6 linked regions of the Macaca mulatta genome follow. The protein of the gene in region 5 interacts with the protein of the main gene of each other region in a biochemical or structural test. Links are inferred from orthologs where the notes say so. Each region holds a gene or a part of one and is shown on either strand. Other genes may lie near its edges.

The links.
Region 1: the proteins of TOPBP1 (region 5) and ATRIP form a complex in vitro, tested with the Homo sapiens proteins (2 studies listed by BioGRID). The link is inferred for Macaca mulatta from reciprocal best matches to the Homo sapiens genes TOPBP1 and ATRIP.
Region 2: the proteins of TOPBP1 (region 5) and RAD9A form a complex in vitro, tested with the Homo sapiens proteins (4 studies listed by BioGRID). The link is inferred for Macaca mulatta from reciprocal best matches to the Homo sapiens genes TOPBP1 and RAD9A.
Region 3: the proteins of TOPBP1 (region 5) and TICRR form a complex in vitro, tested with the Homo sapiens proteins (2 studies listed by BioGRID). The link is inferred for Macaca mulatta from reciprocal best matches to the Homo sapiens genes TOPBP1 and TICRR.
Region 4: the proteins of TOPBP1 (region 5) and E2F1 form a complex in vitro, tested with the Homo sapiens proteins (4 studies listed by BioGRID and IntAct). The link is inferred for Macaca mulatta from reciprocal best matches to the Homo sapiens genes TOPBP1 and E2F1.
Region 6: the proteins of TOPBP1 (region 5) and RHNO1 form a complex in vitro, tested with the Homo sapiens proteins (2 studies listed by BioGRID). The link is inferred for Macaca mulatta from reciprocal best matches to the Homo sapiens genes TOPBP1 and RHNO1.

Annotation. Positions count from the first base shown.
Region 1 is NC_133407.1:111,863,788-111,867,287, reverse strand, and holds part of ATRIP (ATR-interacting protein), read right to left. Parts: intron 572-3,500; coding exon 414-571; intron 1-413. UniProt on the Homo sapiens protein: Required for checkpoint signaling after DNA damage. Required for ATR expression, possibly by stabilizing the protein.
Region 2 is NC_133419.1:6,990,357-6,994,472, forward strand, and holds the start of RAD9A (cell cycle checkpoint control protein RAD9A), read right to left. Parts: upstream 2,801-4,116; 5' UTR 2,649-2,800; coding exon 2,385-2,648; intron 1,670-2,384; coding exon 1,555-1,669; intron 1,475-1,554; coding exon 1,375-1,474; intron 1-1,374. UniProt on the Homo sapiens protein: Component of the 9-1-1 cell-cycle checkpoint response complex that plays a major role in DNA repair. The 9-1-1 complex is recruited to DNA lesion upon damage by the RAD17-replication factor C (RFC) clamp loader complex.
Region 3 is NC_133412.1:79,402,440-79,405,939, reverse strand, and holds part of TICRR (treslin), read right to left. Parts: intron 147-3,500; coding exon 17-146; intron 1-16.
Region 4 is NC_133415.1:86,447,443-86,450,471, forward strand, and holds the end of E2F1 (transcription factor E2F1), read right to left. Parts: intron 2,362-3,029; coding exon 2,247-2,361; intron 2,152-2,246; coding exon 1,926-2,151; intron 1,802-1,925; coding exon 1,554-1,801; 3' UTR 501-1,553; downstream 1-500. UniProt on the Homo sapiens protein: Transcription activator that binds DNA cooperatively with DP proteins through the E2 recognition site, 5'-TTTC[CG]CGC-3' found in the promoter region of a number of genes whose products are involved in cell cycle regulation or in DNA replication.
Region 5 is NC_133407.1:36,717,606-36,721,570, reverse strand, and holds the start of TOPBP1 (DNA topoisomerase 2-binding protein 1), read left to right. Parts: upstream 1-1,165; 5' UTR 1,166-1,318; intron 1,319-1,990; 5' UTR 1,991-1,997; coding exon 1,998-2,081; exon of another isoform or gene 2,082-2,165; intron 2,166-3,941; exon of another isoform or gene 3,942-3,965. UniProt on the Homo sapiens protein: Scaffold protein that acts as a key protein-protein adapter in DNA replication and DNA repair. Composed of multiple BRCT domains, which specifically recognize and bind phosphorylated proteins, bringing proteins together into functional combinations.
Region 6 is NC_133416.1:3,787,411-3,790,500, forward strand, and holds the end of RHNO1 (RAD9, HUS1, RAD1-interacting nuclear orphan protein 1), read left to right. Parts: intron 1-1,028; coding exon 1,029-1,583; 3' UTR 1,584-2,590; downstream 2,591-3,090. UniProt on the Homo sapiens protein: Involved in microhomology-mediated end-joining (MMEJ) DNA repair by promoting recruitment of polymerase theta (POLQ) to DNA damage sites during mitosis.

The sequences.
Region 1 (3,500 bases), about 75 Mb from region 5:
TGAGTGAAGCCCAGACTCAGTGATTTGCTTCTAACAAACAGAATGTGGCACAGGTGACGCTGTGTGACTTCTGAGGCTAGGCCACAAAAGGACAGCTTCTGCCTGGCTCTCTCTCTCTCTGGATTTGCTGGCTTTAGAGGAAGCCACCCACCAGGTTATAAGGATACCCCGTATCCATGTGCAGAGGCCCATGCGGCAAGGAATTACACTGCCAGTCATGTGAGTGAGCCATCTTGAAATAGATCCTCCAGCTTAAGACAAGCTTTCAGTGATTCCAGTCCCTGCAGAGATTGTCCCCACTGTGCCCTGTCAGAATTGCTGATCACAGAAATTGGGAGAAAATAAATAACAATTGTTTTAAGCCACAAATTTGGGTAGTTTGTTAAAAAGCAATAGATGACTTATGGACTTACCCTCTCTGCCCACCAGCGGCTTGTATCCTGACTCTGTCTGGCAGGGGTGGGGAAGGGACATGTTAGCACTAAAAGACTCCTTTGTAGGAAAAGATGTTTTTCCAAATTGTGGAGAACATGCTTCTGGCTTTATAACCACAGAAGGGTTTTTCCTAGGACTGGAAAAAGTTAACTATGAAAGCAAAGTAATGATTCTACTAAAACAATTCAAAATACCTGGTTACAAAATTTCTAACAAACTTTAAACTTTTCATGTCTAGGTGTTTTAACCAAAGGTTTTATCTATTATGTCTACCATTCTTTGTCAGGGGAGCAGTGCAAAATTCCAGGCATTTGGTTTTCTTTTTTAAAAATATTTTTAAATTTTAATTTCTCTATAGAGATGGGGTTTCGCTAAGTTACCCACGCTGGTCTGGAACTCCTGAGCTTGAGTGATCCACCCACTTTGTTCTCCCAAAGTGCTGGGATTACGGGCATGATCCACCGTTACTGGCCAATTCCAGGCATTTTGATCCAAATCGTTGAAAAAGTTTTTTATTCATTTTTCTATTTTTCTAATCATCCAAAAATATAATATTAGCCAAAATTCTTTTACTATTCTTTATTATCACTATTTCCAATTCCACCAAAACTTTTTTTTTTTTTTGCGACAGAGTCTTGCTCCGTTGCCCAGGCTGGAGTACAGTAGCATGATCATAGCTCACTGCAGCCTTGACCTCCTAGGCTCAAGCGATCCATCCACCTGTAATCCCAGCCTCCTGAGTAGCTGGGATTACAGGCACACACCAACATGACCAGATAATTTTTTTTTTTTTTTTTTGGTGAGACAGTGTCTCACTCTGTTGCCCATGCTGGAGCCCAGTGGCACAATTATGGCTCACTGTGGCCTCGACCTCTTGGGCTCAGTGATCCTCCCACCTCATCCTTCTGAGTAGCACAGGGACTACAGGTATGCAACCACCACATCTGGCTAACTTTTTATTCTTTCTAGAGATAGAGTTATTTCTAGAGATTGGGTTTCACCATGTTGCCTAGGCTAGTCTTGAACTCATGGGCTCAAATGATCAGCCCACCTCAGCTTCCTAAAATGCTGGGATTACAGGCGTGAGCCACCAGGGCCGGTAATTTTATTTTATTGTTTTTTTAGTAGCAGTGGGGTTTTGCTATGTTGCCCAGGCTGGTCTCGAACTCCTAGCCTTAAGCAATCTTCCTGCCTTAGCCTCCTGTGTAGCTGGGATTGCCTGTGTAGCTACCATGCCTGGTGCAAAACATCTTTTCAATGTGGAACAAACTGTTTTTTTTTTTTTTCTGGGACGGAGTCTCGTTCTGTTGCCCAGGCTGGAGTACAGTGGTGTGATCTTGGCTCACTGCAACTTCTGCCTCCAGGTTCAAGTGATTCTCCTGCCTCAGCCTCCCAGGTAGCTGGGATTACAGGCGCATGCCACCATGCCCAGCTAATTTTTATATTTTCAGTAGAGACAGGGTTTCACCATGTTGGCCAGGTTGGTCTCGAACTCCTGACCTCAAGTGATCTGCCCGCCTCAGCCTCCCAAAGTGTTGGGATTACAGGTGTGAGCCACTGCGCCCAGCCAATGTGGAACAAACGATTTTTTAATAGTCACAAGACTTCCAGGCTGGGTGTGGTGGCTCACACCTGTAATCCCAGTAATTTGGGAGGCTGAGGCGGATGGATCACCTGATGTCACATGGTGATATCCCGTCTCTACTTAAAAAAAAATACAAAAAATGCCCGGCGCGGTGGCTCACGCCTGTAATCCCAGCACTTTGGGAGGCCGAGGCGGGCGGATCACAAGGTCAGGAGATCGAGACCACGGTGAAACCCCGTTTCTACTAAAAATACAAAAAATTAGCCGGGCGCGGTGGCGGGCGCCTGTAGTCCCAGCTACTCAGGAGGCTGAGGCAGGAGAATGGCGTGAACCCGGGAGGCGGAGCTTGCAGTGAGCCGAGATTGCACCACTGCACTCCAGCCTGGGCGACAGAGCGAGACTCTGTCTCAAAAAAAAAAAAAACAAAAAAAACAAAAAAACTAGCCTGGCGTGGTGGTGTGTGCCTGTAATCCCAGCTACTTGGGAGGCTGAGACAGGAGAATCACTTGAACCTGGGAAGTGGAGGTTGCAGTGAGCTGAGATCATGCCACTGCACTCCAACTTGGGCAACAGAGCGAGACTCTGTTTCAAAAAAAAAACTTCCAATAGAATGCAAAGACTTTAAATAGAAAAAGAGTTATCAAAATAAGTATCAAAATTTTGATAAACCTATTAAGTATGTTGAAAACTGAGCAACTTCTCAGTGCTAATGTCTTTATGTTAGAGAAGCAGTGTTAACCCTCTGATCTGATCATATAATGCTGAGGTCTTTCTGTTACTGATGTGTGAAGAGGATCCCCTCTGCTCTCTTATGTGGACAATGCAAGGCATGGAGAGTTCAGTTTCACACACTGCCCATTATGAGCAAAGGCAGCAGAATGTTCAAAACCAGAAGATGCCCTGACACTGTTCAAATCTCAAGGCTGGGCCAGGCACAGTGGCTCATGCTTGTAATCCCAGTAGTTTGAGAGGCCCAGGCTGGCAGATCATTTGAGTCCAGGAGTTCGAGACCAGCCTGGCCATGATGAAACCCCATCTCTAAAAATACAAAAAGTAGCCAGGTGTGGTGGTGCATGCCTGTAATCCCAGCTACTCGGGAGGCTGAGGCAGGAGAATCACTTGAATTTGGAAGGTGGAGACTGCAGTGAGCCGAGATCACACCATTGCACCCCCGCCTAACAGAGTGAGACTCCATCTCAAAACAACAACCACAACAACAAAAAACCACAGCAAATTTCAAGGCTGATACTGACAGTGCCAGACATCTCTGTAAGGCAGAGGGCAGGACAGATCATTAACAAGTTGAGGCCAGGCACGGCGGCTCATGTCTGTAACTCAGCACTTTAGGAGGCCGAAGTGGGAGGATTGCTTGAGCCCAGGAGTTCAAGATTAGCTTGAGCAACATAGTGAGACCCCGCCTCTGTATAAAAACAAAACAAGGCCGGGCTCAGTGGCTCACGCCTGTAATCCCAGCACCTTG
Region 2 (4,116 bases), on a different chromosome or scaffold from region 5:
ACGAGGTCAGGAGATCAAGACCATCCTGGCTAACATGGTGAAACCCCATCTACTAAAAATACAAAAAATTAGCCAGGCGTGATGGCAGGCGCCTGTACTCCCAGCTACTCGGGAGGCTGAGGCAGGAGAATGGCGTGAACCCGGGAGGCGGAGCTTGCAGTGAGCCGAGATCCCGCCACTGCACTCCAGCCTGGGCGACAGAGCGAGACTCCATCTCACACACACACACACAAAAGGGCGCGGTGGCTCACGCCCATAATCTCAGCACTTTGGGAGGCTGAGGCGGGCAGATCACCTGAGGTTGGGAATTCAAGACCAGCCTGACCAACAAAGAGAAACCCTGTCTCTACTAAAAATACAAAAAATTAGCCAGGCATGGTGGCGCATGCCTACAATCCCAGCTACTTGGTAGGCTGAGGCAGGAGAATCACTTGAATCGGGAGGCGGAGGTTGTGGTGAGCCTAGATCGTGCCACTGCCTGGGCAACAAGAGCAAAACTCCATCTCAAAAAAAAACCAACCAAAAAACCCTAAATGCAGCCCAAGGAATTGGCCCCCCTCTCTACCCAAAAGAGCTCTGAGCAGTGCTGGCTCAAGAGAACCTAGGGAAACAGATGTCAGGACCCAAAGGGACATTCAGTCACCCTGAGAAATAAGCAGGACCTTGGGCCACTTGAATACAAGCAGTGTCCAGCGTGGGACAGGGACAGGGGGAGAGCCCACTCCTCTCTGAACTGGTCCTTGCCAGGGACCTTTGCTTCCACTGGAGTCCCTGTTTCCCTGGCCCCAGACAGCCCCCAGTGCTCGGACTGCCCAGAATGGCTCCACCCACAGCTGATTACTCAGGCAGCCCTCCTGAACCACAACCTTCCCTCCAGCCTCCTGCCCTGGCCTTGGGGACTCCTTGATCCTGGGCAGTCAGGAAAAGAGGCTGCCCTTGAGTGGGGAGCACCTCTGGAAGGATGCCCAGGCCGGAGAAGGGGTGTGAGCCTCTGAGCCACAGGTTAAGGGAAGACCTTCAAGGTTACTCAAGCCAGACAAGAGATTTGGTGGCAGGCCAGAAATCTGCTTCCTAGAGGAGGAATTGGAATGGGTCTGAGCAGCCAGAAAGTCAAGTCAGACCTTTGGGATGGAGAACGAAGGCTCCTAACAGTGAGGAGAATGGAGCAAGGAGGCGCCTGCCCCTCCTCCATGCCACCGTCTGCCTTTAAAGAGCCAGGTAAGGACCTGAGCACATAGCGGGCCATGGGATGTCTTTGAGGTTCACAGAAACTCTGTAGGGAAATGAAGGACATACCTTCTTAAATCAACCCTTGAGGCCCCAAAGAAGGAAGAGAGAGACCTGGAGCTGAGCTGAGGGCAGGGGTGTGCTCACCGTGCTGGGGCGCGGAGCATGTGGGGGCACGAGGCTGGGTCGAAGACGGCCTGCAGGGACTCACAGTCCTGGAAGGACAGGTTGTGAGTCTTCCGCACCCCTGGATGGGCGATAGGGTCTCAGTGGGCCTCGCCGACCTCCCTGCTGAGGCACCCCTTGGCTGTCCGGCTGCCCACTCACCGAACTTGCAGTGCAGCTGGACCACCAGGCGGCTGCTCCGGCCGTTCAGGGAGATGCAGCATTTTTCCACCGTCTTCTCCAGCATCGCCAGTGAGCGGAAGACAGACAGGAAGGACTAAATGGGATAAGACACCTCAGCCTAGCACCGCATCTCTGCAACAAGCTCTCCTGTCCCGTGTAGGCCCACACCAATCATGGGCCCAGCCTGTAACTCTGGGAAAAGGGCTCCCACATCACACGGGACACTGGCATCCTTCTAGGCCTCATTCATGCTCTTCCTTATGCTTGCAATGCCTTGAAAGACCTGCTTACCTTTCTCTTTTTTTTTTATTTGAGATGGAGTCTCGCTCTGTCACCCAGGCTGGAGTGCAGTGGTGCGATCTTGGCTCACTGCAACCTCCGCCTCCCGGGTTCAAGCAATTCTCCTGCCTCAGCCTCCCAAGTAACTGGGATTATAGGCCCCCACCACCACACCCGGCTAATTTTTGTATTTTTAGTAGAGACGGGGTTTCACCATGTTGGCCAGGGTAGTCTTGAACTCCTGACCTCATGATCTGCCCACCTCAGCCTCCCAAAGTGCTGGGATTACAGGTGTGAGCCACCGCACCCGGCCAAAAGACCTGCTTACCTTTCTTGACGAACTTGAGCCTCACCACCCTCTCAGGTCCCCGCTGTGATGCTTTTACCAAGGCCCTCCCTGTGTTTTGCATGGATTGGACTTGCACGTGTCTCTCTCCCCACTTAGCATCTACTGAGTACCCCAGGGCAGAGGCACAGCTAGTGGAGATTCCTGGGATGGGGCAGTGCCACTGCTGAGGGAAGGGCCTCACCTTCATCAGGATCTTACAGCGCAGCAGGTCCTGACCAGGGGTTGCTGCCTGGTATTGCTGGAAGAAGAGCGGAGCAAAGAGAAAGCAGGCATAGGCAGAGCGGGAGGAGTTCACCGTCCGGAGGGAGAGCTGGGCCACGAAGAGCAGGGAGAGGGACGTGGTCAGGGGGCAGCCACAGACCCAGCCCTCCGGCTGCTTCTGCTCACACACTTGCTCTATCGTCCTCCCGCTCTGCCACCACCTGCTGAAACCCTCCTTCCACATGAAGCCTTCAGAGTCGGCCTCGGGGCTGCTGCCGCAGAGGAGCGGTCGCACACCCAGGCCTACCCCGAGTTTCTCTAAGGGCACGTTACCCCCTGGGAGCTCACAGGAGGCCAGCTTGCAATTCACACACCGGCCTGGGAAGATGACAGGCGCTAGGCTGAGAAACTGAAACTCTGCCGACAAATCTGCCAGCGGTCATCCCGCCTAGTGGGGGCGAGACTCGAGTCCGGGTTACCCGCTCCCGGCTGGAGTCCCACCCGCCCCCCCACACCCCAGCCCCTCACCCCGTCCTCCAAGGGTTCCAGGTAGAGCTCGTCCCCGATGCGGGACAGGGAGTGGACGGCCTTGCCGAGCACTGCGGGGAGGAGAGCGGAAGGGGGTTAGGCTGGCGGCTCCGCGGCTCCTGCACCGCCGCTGCCAGGCCGACCCGCACTCACCCTTCACGTTGCCGCCCGTGACCAGGCACTTCATGCTGCCCCAGCGCCCAGCCAGCGGCCAGCACTACCCCACACTCCGCGACCTCAGAGCCCGGGGTCCTTCCCGCGCACCGCCCCTGCCAGCCCCTCCCCCGCCTCCCCATTGGTCCACACGCAGGCGCCTCCGTCACGTGAGAAAAACGTTCACAGGCTCCGCCGTCACGTGACGGCGCACGTTGCCCCGGGTGTCACGTGACCCGGGAGGCCCGCGGCGCCCGTCAGCTGCTCCTGGCTCTCCAGGCACGCCTCGGCCTTCAGCGCCCTTGGAGATCGGGGCGTCCCGCGGGCCGCGCATCGGATCGCGAAGGGCAGAGAGGACGCAGCTCTGGGGCGCGAGGTTCCTGTGCAGTGGACCGAGCGCTAGACTCGGAGTCCGAATGTGGGTGCGAGCTCTCTGGGGTCACCCACTGAGTAGAGTTCCCGGGCGTCTGTCGGAGGATACACGGTGCAAGCAAGACCATCGCACCCACTCTGGGCCGGAGACTCGAACTCCAGCAGCAATCCCCAACTCTAGAAAGAGGTCAAAGCAGCTTGCTTGCAGCAGCTGGGAGTGGGAGGTGGCTGCTCCTTCTGGCTTCGAGGATCCTTGAAGGAAAAACGGCAGCTTCTCCAGGCAGAAAGGGGTAGAACGGTGCTCCTGGCAGAGGGAGGAACAAGAGTAAATGCTCAGCGGTGTGGGCTCCGCCCCCTGGAGAGGGGAGTAGGTCTGTGAGTCTCAGAGAGGCTTAGGGGCCGCCAGATGATGAGGGGCACCGCTGGGACGCTCTAGAAATGTTTTACGAGGGTAGATCGTGGTTATGTGCCTTTTTTTTTTTTTTTTTTTTTCCCCGAGACATATTCTTGCTCTGTCACCCAGGCTGGAGTGCAGTGGCGCGAACACGGCTCACTGTCGCCTGGAACTCCTGGGCTCAAGGTATCCTCCCACCTCAGTCTCCTGAGTATCTGGGACCACAGGCACACCCACCACGCCCGGCTTTTTTTTTTTTTTTTTG
Region 3 (3,500 bases), on a different chromosome or scaffold from region 5:
TATAAAAAAGTTTTACCCAAATGACTCCATCAAATTGGAACTAGCACCACGGATGTTACAGAAAGGAAACCACTTTTCCACAACAGCTGGACTCCAGGGAGTGGTGTGGCCAAGTTCCTGCTGGGCCCACTCTGGAACAGGAGAAGCTATTGGAGCAAAGGAACAGAGGCAGGAGAGGAAACCGCATAAGAACCAAAGCAGAGAATTCTAAGCACTTGCTCTTCCCCTGGACTGACTGCATCCCTCCAAAGGACATACAAAGTGCATTTGTTCTCCGGCTAACATTTGTTCTCTGGCACCACAGACTGCTACAGGCCTATGTGGTAAATAAAAAATGCTACTGAAAAACATACAGATACAATTTAAAATCTTTTGTTATTACTGGCTATAAATCCTCTCATCTTATTTCTGAAATGTTCCTCTAACCAGCTTAAAAATATATATTGTTCTTCTATTTATTTATTTATTTTTTTGAAACAGAGTTTCACTCTTCTTGCCCAGGCTGGAGTGCAGTGGCATGATCTCGGCTCATGAGCCGCAACCTCCGCCTCCCGGGTTCAGGCAATTCTCCTGCCTTAGCCTCCTGAGTAGCTGGGATTACAGACATGTGCCACCACACCCAGCTAATTTTGTATTTTTAGTAAAGACAGGGTTTCTCCATGTTGGTCAGGTTGGTCTCAAACTCCTGACCTCAGGTGATCCGCCTGCCTTGGCCTCCCAAAGTGCTGGAATTATAGGCCTGAGCCACCGCGCTTAGTCCTGTTCTTAAAAATGGCTTTGTACGGTTGCGCACAGTGGCTCACGCCTGTAATCCCGGCACTTTGGGAGGCCGAGGTGGGTGGATCACCTGAGGTCAGGCGTTTGAGACCAGCCTGGCCAACATGGCAAAGCCCCGTCTCTACTAAAAGTGCAAAAATTAGCTGGGTGTGGTGGCAGGTGCCTGTATTCCCAGCTATTCAGGAGGCTGAGGCAGGAGAAGCTTGAACCCGGGAGGCGGAGGTTGCGGTGAGCCAAGATCACGCCACTGCACTCCAGCCTGGGCAAAGAGCGAGACTCTGTCTCAAAAAAAAAAAAAAAAAAAGGCTTTGTACAATAATAAATATACAGTAACAAAACTGCAGAATATCACAATTCTGTTGCACTGAGTAGGTAAATTGGAAATAGGAAGATGTGGCTCTGCGTTGGGGAGTGTAAGGGTAGAAGGTTCTCTTAAAATAAGCCTGATGGAGGAGGTGGTTGGGGGAACAGTAACAGAAATTTCAGTGAACTCTGTGATTCTGAGAGGTCCATCTAAGACCCTAGACAAATGAAATGTTAGACATTAATGAAGTCTTGGGGAAAAAAACCCAAATATTTAAAATGTATTCAAACTTATTGAGACAACCAAGTTTTAGGCCTTCTTTCAGTGAGAGAATTCAGAGATAAATACAATGCCTACTTCAAAAGGAGCTCCCAGGATAGGAAGAGTAGGTCCACTCTTGTGAAGTCATGGAGATATGTATAAATGTTAGCATATGCTAACTCTGTCTAGATGGGCAAGGAAGGTCTCATGGAGAATGCAGTATTTGGGCTAGGTTCTAATGCAGGAATAGGATCTCACCCAGATGGAGCATGGTGGGGAGACTGGACAACAAGCTGGCACACTGATTTATAACCTGGAAGAAACTGTGGGCCATGCTACAGCAGAGAACTTGTAAAATACTGCAGTTCTTCCTTTACCAAATTCCAAAATACAGTTTTCTGAGCTGCTTCCAAGACTATATACATAGTTAAGATACAGTCTGTTCTACAATACAAAACTTTCTACAAATAGCCTACACACAATTGATAAGTAAGGTAGTGACATTAGTACAAAATATTATGTTGCTTTGGTTATGTGATCATTCCTAATGTGCTATTATTTTATGCCACCAAGTAGCAGCAGCTGAATTCAAAGTGCACAAACACAACTAAATACAAACAGCCAGAGGAGCACAGTGCTGTACACTACACCCTTTCTTTTTTTTTTTTTTTTTTTGAGATGGAGTCTCACTGTTGCCCAGGCTGGAGTGCAGTGAGCAATCTCGGCTCACTGCAAGCTCCGCCTCCTGGCTTCACGCCATTCTCCTGCCTCAGCCTCCAGAGTAGCAGGGACTACAGGCGCCCGCCACCACGCCCGGCTAATTTTTTGTATTTTTAGTAGAGATGGGCTTTCACCATGTTAGCCAGGATGGTCTCGATCTCCTGACCTCGTGATCCGCCAGCCTTAGCCTCCCAAAGTGCTGGGATTACAGGCATGAGCCACCATGCCCAGCCAACTACGCCCTTTCAACTCGTGTTCTTCTCCTTGGCTGTTTGGCCACATGCACTTTCCTGGAAGTGCTTATGATGTAGTTCCCTATCGTTGTCATTGGCCCCTGTCTCCATAATACCACAGCCTCAACCCTTTCATCATGCCATCTTCACCTTTCTTTTAAGGGATAAGGTATATTTATTATGGAGTTTACTTATTATGAATTTAATGTGTCTTTTAATCAAACTATAATTTTTATTAGGATTGCACTTTTTTTGTTGTTTTTAATTGAGACAAGGTCTTGCCATGTTGCCCGGCTGGTCTTGGACTCCTGGGCTCAAGCAATCTTTCTGCTTCAGCCTCCCGAGGAGCTGGGATTACAGGCACGTGTCCCCCCACCCAGGATTGCCTTAGTTTTTATCACTGCCAAAGATTTTGAGAAGTCTGTCCCAACTGTAGTTCTCCCAAAGCTATTATTTTTAGTGTAAGATTGTGTAGAATTTTTTAAACAAGCAAAAGAAACTTCACATCACATGACAGCATAAATGCCTATAATTGCATCTGCTGTTATATTACAAAATTCAGACAAGGGCAGTAAAGGTCTATGAGAATAAATATGACATGATAGTTTCTTCTCAAGTCATTGTATGCTGGATTAGGGGAGAAAGGCCAGAAATACCTGCCTCAGGCCTCCAAGTCTCAAGCCTCCCTCTGCATGGAGAGAGAGTGCCCCTCACAGAGTTACCTGCACCTCTTCCAGCAAATGCCAAACAGGAGCCCAACGCTAAAAACAAGGCCACCCTCCACTGGCCTCCCAGGCAGGACTTTGGAGGGAGCCCTAGGCCCTCGGAGTTAGATGCCCTCCTTGTAGTCTCCACGCCTACATGGGCAGGAGTGTGGGTGGGCCAAACACCCACACTTCTTACCCCCCAAACTCACAGGTTCAGCACCATTAGCTGCATTGAAACCACCAGGAATTAATCTCATGATCCCCTTGATAGCTGCTTTTTCCCATCATGCGAAGCCCTAGACCCCTAGGTCGCTCCAGTCTGCCCACTGGAATCTCCTCACTGCTCCTTCCGTCTTCCATCCTGTCACCTCGGCCCAGCCCTTCCACACATAAAATCCTCCCACCCTGCCCTCTGGAACTCACTGACCCTCATCAGCAAAATCCCCTATATCCTCAATTCCATCTTCTCCTGCCCTGAACACACTGTTTCCCCTGCAG
Region 4 (3,029 bases), on a different chromosome or scaffold from region 5:
TTGTTTTCTTCCTCTGGTTAACTCCTACCTATTCTACAGCGCTGAACTCAAGCACTTCCTGATTTTCTCATTTAAGTAGATCTCCTTCAGACCCTGAGAGCACCAAGAAGGGAGGTAACACTCGTGTCCCCAGAACTGCTAAATACCTGACACAGAACCAGTCCACTGTCATTTGTTGCATGTTTACTAATGTCCAGAAACGTCTGGAAGACAGCAAACTGAGCACAGTGGCCTCTGGGGCTGGGAAAAGGAGAGGCCACTCATTACGCTGCACTTCGGGCAGCACTGAGTAGCATTCTTGGCTTTCCACAAAAACCTTTACTGGATCGGCTTTTGAGTTAGGACCAAAATAGCGATGAAGCTGACCTTTCTTCGAGTTCTGAGACTCAAATCAAATCGAGCAGGGACGGAGAGAAGGGAAGCGGAGAATGGGCATTTCCCCAGCAACCTTGGCCTCTCCCGCCCCGAACTGTTCCCAACAGAGTCCCAAAACCCGACCCAAACGTCATCAAAATATTTATTAAAACCAAAGCAGGAGGGAACAGAGCTGTTAGGAAGCAAATCAAAGTGCAGATTGGAGGGTGGGGCAGAGCAGTGGGGAGGCAGGCGCTTCAGACACCGCAGGAGGGACCACAGGGTCTGGGCTGGGGGAGGCCTTCACCACCCCTCCTGCCCACCACATCAGTGAAGGTCCCCCACTCACCTCTCCCATCTCATATCCATCCTGGGGGGCAGCTGGAGCCCTGAACTGGCCCCCTGGAGAGGCCCCACCCCACCATCCGTCCACCCATGGCTGTCAGTCAGTCTGTCTCCCTCCCTCACTTTCCCAATAAATAAATCACCTAGGCCTCAGCTCCTTCGGTGTGGGGCAGAACAGCTCAGGGACCCCTGTCCTTGCTCAAGGGTAGAGGGAGTTGGGGTATCAACCCCACACCCCTCCTCCCCTTTGCTGATTCCCCAGGCTTGCCAAAGAGGCCTCGATAAATAAATAACGCTCCATTAAAGCTTCAATCAGAAAAAAACCTTTAAGACAGAAGTGCTCTCACCGTCCTACAAGCCCAGCCAGCCAAAGCCTCCCCACCTGGCCTGGTCAGAGCACCAGATTCTGGGAGCAGGCACTGCCCTGGGCCTTGTGGGACCCCCAGAGCAAAAGGGCCGAAAGTGCAGTTAGAGCCCCCCCACGCGCACACATGGACTCATGCACACACATGTGGACACACTGGGGCGTGTCTGCAGTGCACACACAGGTGTATGTTCACCTTCATTCCCCGGTACATGCACACACACATGCTCACACACATTCACCCCGGGTACACACGTGTGGGTGTAGGCTGCATGCACATACACACCACAAACACAGACTCCTTCCCTTCCTGGCTTGCTCAGCCTCCTAGCGGTAGCCAGACCCCAGAGCTAGAAGCTTCTGGAGATAGGAGAGAGGGGTATAAATTAAATGTTTCCAATCAGGCTGGGAGGACGGCCAGGGACAGGGGGCTCCAGGGCTGCAGAGACAAGGTGAGCATCTCTGGAAACCCTGGTCCCTCCAAGCCCTGTCAGAAATCCAGGGGGGTGAGGTCCCCAAAGTCACAGTCGAAGAGGTCTCTGATGCCCTCGCCCTCCTCGAGGCCGAAGTGGTAGTCGAGGGCCTCGTGGGGTGGGGAAAGGCTGATGAACTCCTCAGGGAGGAGGCCGGAGAAGTCCTCCCGCACATGCTCCAGGAGCGAGTCGGCCGCCACCAGCGGGGACAGGCGGTCCTCGTCCACGGGAGCCCGCAGGCTGCCCATCCGGGACAACAGCGGTTCTGGAGAGACGGGGAGCATCACAGGCCGGGGATGCCCCAGCAGGAAGGAAGGCAGGGGCTGTCGTGCCTGCCCACCCCCAGAAGAGGGGCCCTGCCCCACCCCACCCACCTACCCATCACCCACCTTGCTCCAGGCTGAGTAGAGACTGGCTGGGATCTGTGGTGAGGGATGAGGGGGGAGATGATGGTGGTGGTGACACTATGGTGGCAGAGTCAGTGGCCCTGTTCTCCTCCTCAGAAGTGGCCTCCTGGGACGGGGTCTTCCCAGGGCTGATCCCACCCACGGTCTCCTCAGGGCACAGGAAAACATCGATGGGGCCTTGTTTGCTCTTAAGGGAGATCTGAAAGGTCTGGGTGGAAACAGCAGGCAGGGTAAACTGAGGCCCAGGTGACTACCAGCACAGCCCAGCCCAGCCCAGTTGGGCCTGGAGTTCCCAGATCTCACCTCCGAAGAGTCCACGGCTTGGAGCTGGGTCTCGGGAGGGGCTTTGATCACCATAACCATCTGCTCTGCAGGGTCTGCAATGCTACGAAGGTCCTGACACGTCACATAGGCCAGGGTTGGCAGAGTCAAGGACCACATGACCTTTGACTTCTAGGGGGTCACTCACTCCAACAGCTTACAAGGCAGGGCTCACACCTGCCTAGTCACTCCTATCCTCCCAACCTCCTACCCGTTCAAAACCTACCTCATTCCTGAGTTTCAAGTTCCACATCTATATAATGGAATCACTCTACCCATTGAATCCCAAGGTAATGATAATAGCTACCGGGAACGATTCCATGTAAAATGTTCAACACAACTCCAGGCCTGGTGCTGGGAATTCATTTTTTTAGAGGCAGGGTCTCGCTATGTCACCGAGGCTGGAGTGATGTAGCTCAACCAGAGCTCACTGCAGCCTCAAACTCCTGGGCTCAAGTGATCCTCCCACCTCAGCCTTCTGAAGCACTAGGATTACAGGCATGAGCCACTGCACCTAGCCACTTTTCTTTTTTAATCTGTACAATTTCAGAATTGGATATTATTATTTCACTTTTATAAATAACACTGAGGCCCAGAGAGGTTAAGCAATTTATCCAGCGTCACAACAGTGAGAAAATGCTGAGCCAGGACTTGCAACCAAAACAACCAGAGCCCTCTCCTGAATCCAAGCCTCTCTAGTCCCACTTGGGTGGAGCCCCTGCCTGCTAAGCCTGCCTTCCACACCCTACGGCCAATCCAAGGATA
Region 5 (3,965 bases):
ATGGTAGAGGATGAGGAACCTGATCAGATATTGAGCGTGGAGGGTTCTAACTGGATTTTCCAAGGAAATACACAGATAAACCTACGAGAAAGTTGAGGAGTCTGACTAAAGTTTGGCCAAGCAAAGAATCCTTGTCACCTTCCATCGTTGTATTCAAACACTTAAGACTCAAGCTGCTCACTACTATCTTTAGGCTCTAAAGAGAAAAGAAAAACAAAAACGATCAAGGGACATGGCATTATACTTTTACATTAGTAAATCCAAAGTCATTTTCTCAATCTCAGCAGTCAAGAATAAAATGATCCGCATTAGTATAGTGGCTAGATTTTATAAAATAAGAAAAAAATATTTTTAAAGAATAAAATGAAAAGAAGCAACAACTAATCAGTTTACCACTAGTTATCACTGAGCTAAGGTTTTGCAGGCCCATTTTACCCCCTCTCCCTTTGCTCTCTGCCATTTGAACCTCAGGTTCAGTGCTAGAATCTCCCCAGTACGAGGCAGATGCAGAGAAAGAGAACGGTGATGTCCACTGAAGGGGAGGAGGAGGGGAGACCATTGACGATCTTGGCAAAGACATTAGCTGTGTAGTAAGTCATCCTTTCTTCCCTTGCCATCTTGTGGCTGTGTTAGGCAGTGATTCTATTCCTGCTGTGTTGGAGGGAAACCACCCAGTCCGTAGTCAGAAGACCTGGATGCAGTATTAATTCTACCACTTACTAGCCGTGTGCCCTTGAACCCATCATTTAACTTCCTCCGTTTTTACATCTGCAAAATGGAACTACCACTATTTGCCTCAAGGAATTGTTTTGGATAATACGTTTTTCCGTGCATACCTGGTATAAGGCAGGTATAAAGTACATCTATTGAGGACATCCTTTCTTTCCGTGGCTTTTTTAACAGTAAAGGAGTATTCCTGGCCTGTGGTCCTACCTCTTGAACGGACGGCGCTGGGCCTACTCTCCGCGGCGAGTAGGCCTGCCCAGCAAAGCCCTAATCCAAGGGATCCGGCCCAAGCTTTCCCTGAATCCCTACCGCCCATGGACCGCTCACCTCCACTTTTGACATTTCCGCTTTCCTGCCGCAGCTGCGGATGGCGTCACTTCCACCGGAAAAGGCGAGCGCAGCCGCGCGGTTGGCGCGAAAGTCGGTTTCCGTTCTGGTCAATTTCCGGGTTCTCCAGCGTTTGCTTTGGGGTAGGGGCGGCGCCGAGTCGGGGGAGGGGGCTGTGCGCCGGGCTGGCGCCCGACCCCAGCCACCGCCCTGCGGGCAGCGCGTCCCCCGACTCGCCGCCCGGAGACCCCGAGGCCCCAACGAGGTAAGTAAGGCGCGGAGTGGGGACTCAGCTCCTCCCCGGCCCCAACTGGGGTTCGCGATGCGTTCTATGGCCTTCAGGACCCTCTTTTCCTGTCCTAGTAACTGGCCCTGGGACTGGCGGGTGGGCCTTTGACACCTAAAGGACGTGGCTTCCGTGATCCCAGAGCCAGGCCTTTTTCTGGAGCTGGGAACTGGAGCATCTGGCCTTATGCAGGGGCAAAGACCATGCTAACTGGCTTCCATGTTTATATTTAAAATCTGTTTACTGAGGGGTGAACGAACCTCGCAGGCCGTGAGTATCCGCAGGGACAGATGCACTCTGTGTATCCATAAAACAAGTGCAATTGAATGTCCATTGGCTTAGAGGGCTTAGAGCCTTCATAGCAGGGCCCTCCTCAGTGTATTCAATTCGGGTTAATTTTGCTCTCTGATTTGCAAGGATTGGTGTTGTCATGTTTTTCTTTGGCTTTGCCAAAGAAAACGGAGGAAGTTAAATGATGGGTTCAAGGGCACATTCCAGGGTTTCTTACAAATGCCTTTGACGAATTCACCGGCAAAGCCAGAATGTATGTCTTTAGGCATTCTTGTCTGCATGGAAAAATAGGTGGGTTAAACATGGAACTTTATACCTAATGTGGTTTTGTTCTTGTTAATGGTTCCTTTATTTTGACAGTTCAGAAATGTCCAGAAATGACAAAGAACCGTTTTTTGTGAAGTTTTTAAAGTCTTCAGACAATTCCAAATGTTTTTTTAAAGCTCTCGAGGTAAGAGTTGAAAACGTCTTAATACCGTGAATTCATTTTCTTGTTTTTAAGTGTTTTTGATTTGTTGGGCTTTATGTCTTAGAAGTAGATATTTCACTTTCATAATAATTTAATAGTCTACGTTAATACAGATATATCATTATTACATATTTTCGAATTGATCTAAGTACATTATTATGTATTTCGGGGGGCTGGAAGTCTATTATCACGTTGCTGTTTAATGTGACTGACCTGCAGTTTTTGGAAATTAAGTTGCTTTCATTTGCCTCCTAACCAGAGTGGTCCTTTGTGTGCTGTAAAAATTTGAGTCAGTCGTATACTGGTCATACTTGAAAATTTTTTGGTTAATTGTTAAAAATTATGTTTTATTATGTACAGTGTGATAATTGGATGATAGTAGAGGTGATGTAGAGCCTTGCTTCTCACAGATCTCAGCAGTATCAGCATGGCCTGGAAGTTTGTTCAAAATGCAGAATCTTGGCCTCCAATCCAGACTCACCACTTAGAATCTGCATCTTTAACAAGATCGTCAGTGTGCATTAAAGTTTGAGAAGCATTTGTAGCAGATTTTTAAAAATTTCATTCATTCAGCAAGTATTTATTGAAGTGTTCATGATTTGATAGGCACTTCTCTAGTACTTGGGATTTATCAGTGATCAGAACAGGCAAAGATTTCTGTTCTCTCAGAGCTTACATTCTAACAGGAGGACATAGACACTAATCAGACATGATAAATTGGGAAGAGAGAAAAGCAAAACAGGTTAAGGGGTTCCAGAGGATGTTTCTTGGGGGTGGGAAGAAAAGGGGGTTATAATTTTAAATAGCGTGCGATCAGGGTAGGCTTTATGGAGAAAAAGATATTTGAGTAAACGTGAAGGAGGTGAGATGCTTTGCAGATATTTGGAGAAGAATGTTTCAGGCAGAGAGAGCAACCTTATACAGCCCCTGGGAAAGTGTCTGTAGTCTCTATCCAAGTTTAGTGTTCTGTTGTGTAGTAAGTGAGGGATGGGGGAAGAGTGCTAAGGAATGTGTCAGAGAATAATGGTAAAGAGGTCATGTAGGGCCTTGTGGGCCATTTTTCTCTCAGTGGAGAGCCATTGGAGGGTTTCAATCAGAAGAGTAAACATGATCTGACTTACAGTTTTAAAGGGATTACTGTATTTAACATAAGGACCTCAAAACTGGTTCAGAACATTTTTGAGTGCTTACTGGGTGTCAGGATATAGTAGCAAACAAGATACATAACGAAACTTCCAGGGGAGAGAGACAAAAACTATATATATATGTATTTTTAAATAAAATAGACTAAAAGGGTAGAGGAAGGGTATTTGAGAAAGCATGGTTAGGATAGGCATCTCTGGGGAGGTGACATTTAAGCAGACCTGATTGAAGTGGGGGATTAAGTCAGGTGAAAACTTGGAAAAAGAGTATTCCCTGCTGCAAGATCAAGAGCAGAGCATCTAAATGAGGTTATGATTGGCTTGTTCCAGGGCTGGCAAGAAAGTGGGAGTGGCTGGAATAGAGTAAGCAAGGGAGATGAGAAGTAGGAGGTAAAGGTGGGAAGATAGGCAGGAACCAGACTGTGTTGTCTTGAAGGCTATAGTAAGAAATGTGGATTTTATTCTGGGTGCGGTGTGAAGACATTAGGTTTTGAGCAGACAGTGACATGATTTGACTTGTATTTTTAAAAAGATTATTAGCTGCTGTGTAGAGAACAGATTTAGGGCAAGGAAGGGAAAAAGACCATTTGGGAGCCTTCTGCAGAGGTCTAAGTGAGACATGATGGTGACTCTCAATAGGGAAAAGGCTGGATTTGAGATGGAATTTGAATAGGACCTAAATACAGGGGAGTCATTTCAGGTACGTTCTTATTTTATTTTTTCT
Region 6 (3,090 bases), on a different chromosome or scaffold from region 5:
TTCCTCCCCCCTGTGCTTGGAGTTGGCTTTGCATTATTTACTGAGGGCCTTCTTTGTTCCAGGCATTCTGCTAGGTGCTGGGAATCAAGAACAAGACCGCTGGTCTCTACCCTCATGAAGTTTAAAGATAAGTTATATCTAGGCCAGTCATTGTGGCTCACGCCTGTAATCCCAGCACTTTGGGAGGCTGAGGCGGGTGGATCACTTGAGGTCAGGAGTTTGAGACCAGTCTGACCAACATGGCAAAAACCTGACTCTACTAAAAATACAAAAATTGGCTGGGTGCCGTGGCTCATGCCTGTAATCCCAGCACTTTGGGAGGCCAAGGCAGGTGGATAACTTGAGGTCAGGAGTTCAAGGTCAACCTGCTCAAAATGGTAAAATTCCGTCTCTACAAAATATACAAAAAGTAGCTGGGCATGGTGGTGCGTGCCTGTAATCCCAGCTACACGGGAAGCTGAGGCAGTAGAATTGCTTGCATCAGGGAGGCAGAAGTTGCAGTGAGCAGAGCAGAGTGCCATTACACTCCAGCCTGGGTGACAAGAGCGAAACTCTGTCTCAAAAAAAAAAAAAAAAAATATATATATATATATACACACACACACACACACACACACATAGCTGGGCGTGGTGGCAGGCGCCTGTAGTCCTGGCTACTCAGGAAGCTGAAGCAGGAGAATCGCTGGAACCTGGGAGGCAGAAGTTGCAGTGAGCTGAGATTATGCCACTGCACTCCAGTCTAGATGTCGGATTGAGACTCCATCCCAGGGGGAAAAACGTTATATCCCTGTGGTGTGATGAACGGAAAGAGACATCATCCCCTTTCCTACACACGAGGAAGCTGAAGGCCAGAGAGATGGAATAATTTGCCGAAAGCATCCTGTTACTATCCCATTAGACAGCTATTTTAGTTTTGTGTTCATTACTACATTAGACCCCGATTTAAGAGTCTGGTCATCAGATATAGTTTCCTCTCTTAGGTTAGTACTTAGTTAGGCTCACCTCACTTTTTTTTTTTTTTTTTAAAGGTATCACCTGATTTTGATACAACAGCAGGAAGCTTGTTCCCAGCCTACCGGAAACACCACCACCAAAACCGGGCGAGACATTCAAGTCGAAAATCTACCACCTCCAAGTTTCCACATCTAACTTTTGAGAGTCCGCAGTCTTCCAATTCAGAGACATTGGGGATCCCCTTAATCCGGGAGTGCCCCAGTGAATCAGAAAAGGATGTTTCCAGAAGACCCTTAGTTCCAGTGCTCAGTCCCCAAAGCTGTGGGGACATGTCAGCACAGGCACTTCCGAGCTTACCTTATGTGTTCATTCCACCTGATATCCAGACCCCAGAGTCATCGTCTGTGAAGGAAGAACTCATTCCCCGGGATCAGAAGGAAAATAGCCTTCCAAGCTGCTCTCTTCACACTGGCACTCCTGATAGCCCAGAGCCTGGACCTGTTCTGGTTGAAGACACCCCCGAAGACAAGTATGGAATAAAGGTCACGTGGAGGAGACGACAGCACCTGCTTGCTTACCTCAGGGAGAGAGGGAAGCTGAGCAGAAGCCAATTCCTTGTGAAAAGCTGACTGCCATCAGCAATCTCAATAGAAAAGAGACATGTTTTTTGGAGTCATAAAGGAATTCAATTCCCAGGGGTTTTTTTTGTTTGTTTGTTTTATTTTGTTTTGTATTTTGAGATGTAATATCGCTCTGTTGCCCAGGCTGGAGTGCAGTGGTATGATCGCATCTCACTGCAACCTCCACTTCCTGGGTTCAAGCAATGCTCCTGCCTCAGCCTCCCCAGTAGCTGGGATTACAGGCACCTGCCACCATGCCTGGCTAATTTTTTTGTATTTTTAGTAGAGATGAGGTTTCTCCATGTTGGCCAGGCTGGTTTCAAAATCCTGACCTCAATTCATCTGCTGACCTGGACCTTCCAAAGTGCTGGGATTACAGGCGTGAGCCACCGCGCCCAGCCGAGATTTGTTTTCTAAGATACTTTGTGTCATGAACAGTTGAGTTTAGTGTCATGAACTATTCACTTTATATTTTTCTTGTATTAACTGTTTAAATTTTTAAAATATCTTGTAGTAACTCTTTAAAATGTATGTAAGTAAATGGCTACAGAAAGTTTTTTTAGAGAATCCTGCTTCTGTCAGTAATACAGCAATATTACCCCATCCACTAAAGGTCTTTGTCTCCTTAACCACTACTTGTTAATCCTTTAATCACCTCATTCAAACCAATTCATTCTGCATTTTTGAGTACCAGCTCTTGTCAGGCTCAATGGCAGCTTCTATGAGCTGATGGATGGAAAAAAATCAAACTGTGACTCTGTGGTTGACTGCCACCTCTGCAACCTTGACTCATCTGCTGAAAAGGCAAGAAGAAGAAAGGGCAGCAAGCCCTGTTTTAGGGACTATATGAGATCAGGGAAGATAAAGGGGACGTAGATGAGTTCTTTAGGATTGCCTATGTTTTGAGTTTTTGTTTCTAACTGAAGAAATCTATCAATATTAAATAGGGTGAGAAAATGATTTCTTAGAGTAACTGTTCAACTGTGTATAAATAAATAAGGAAAGTTTTCAATGAATATTACTTATTGTAATTAATGCAGAAGGACTTCCCTAGTCAACCGAATGTCTCAGATGGCCTTTTACTCAGATAAGTACATCTCATTAAACCCCATTCATCCAGCATTCATTCAGCTGGACCTACTGTGTCAGGTCCAGCCCCAACTAGATCAAGCAGGGATTACTCTGCATATTTTACAGATGGGAATTTGACGCAGAGAATGAACCATACACAGGGTCACACAGTGAGTGCAGGCTGACCCAGGCAGTGTAACGGTCCACTCAGCGTGTGCCTCCTAAAGTTCTAACTTGTAGGTTCAAAACCAATGTGGGAAACAACTTTGACCTTAGAATGCCATAAAGCCATTTGTGCAGAGACTCGTCAGGACTTAGGATGTTCTGTAGGGATGATGTGCATGTCGGTAGGGAGAAAGGGACTGACATTTGGGGACGGGATTTATTGGAGACAGAGTACACTTTTAGACAGGGGCTTCCACTGTGGGCTATGGATGTTTGAGGA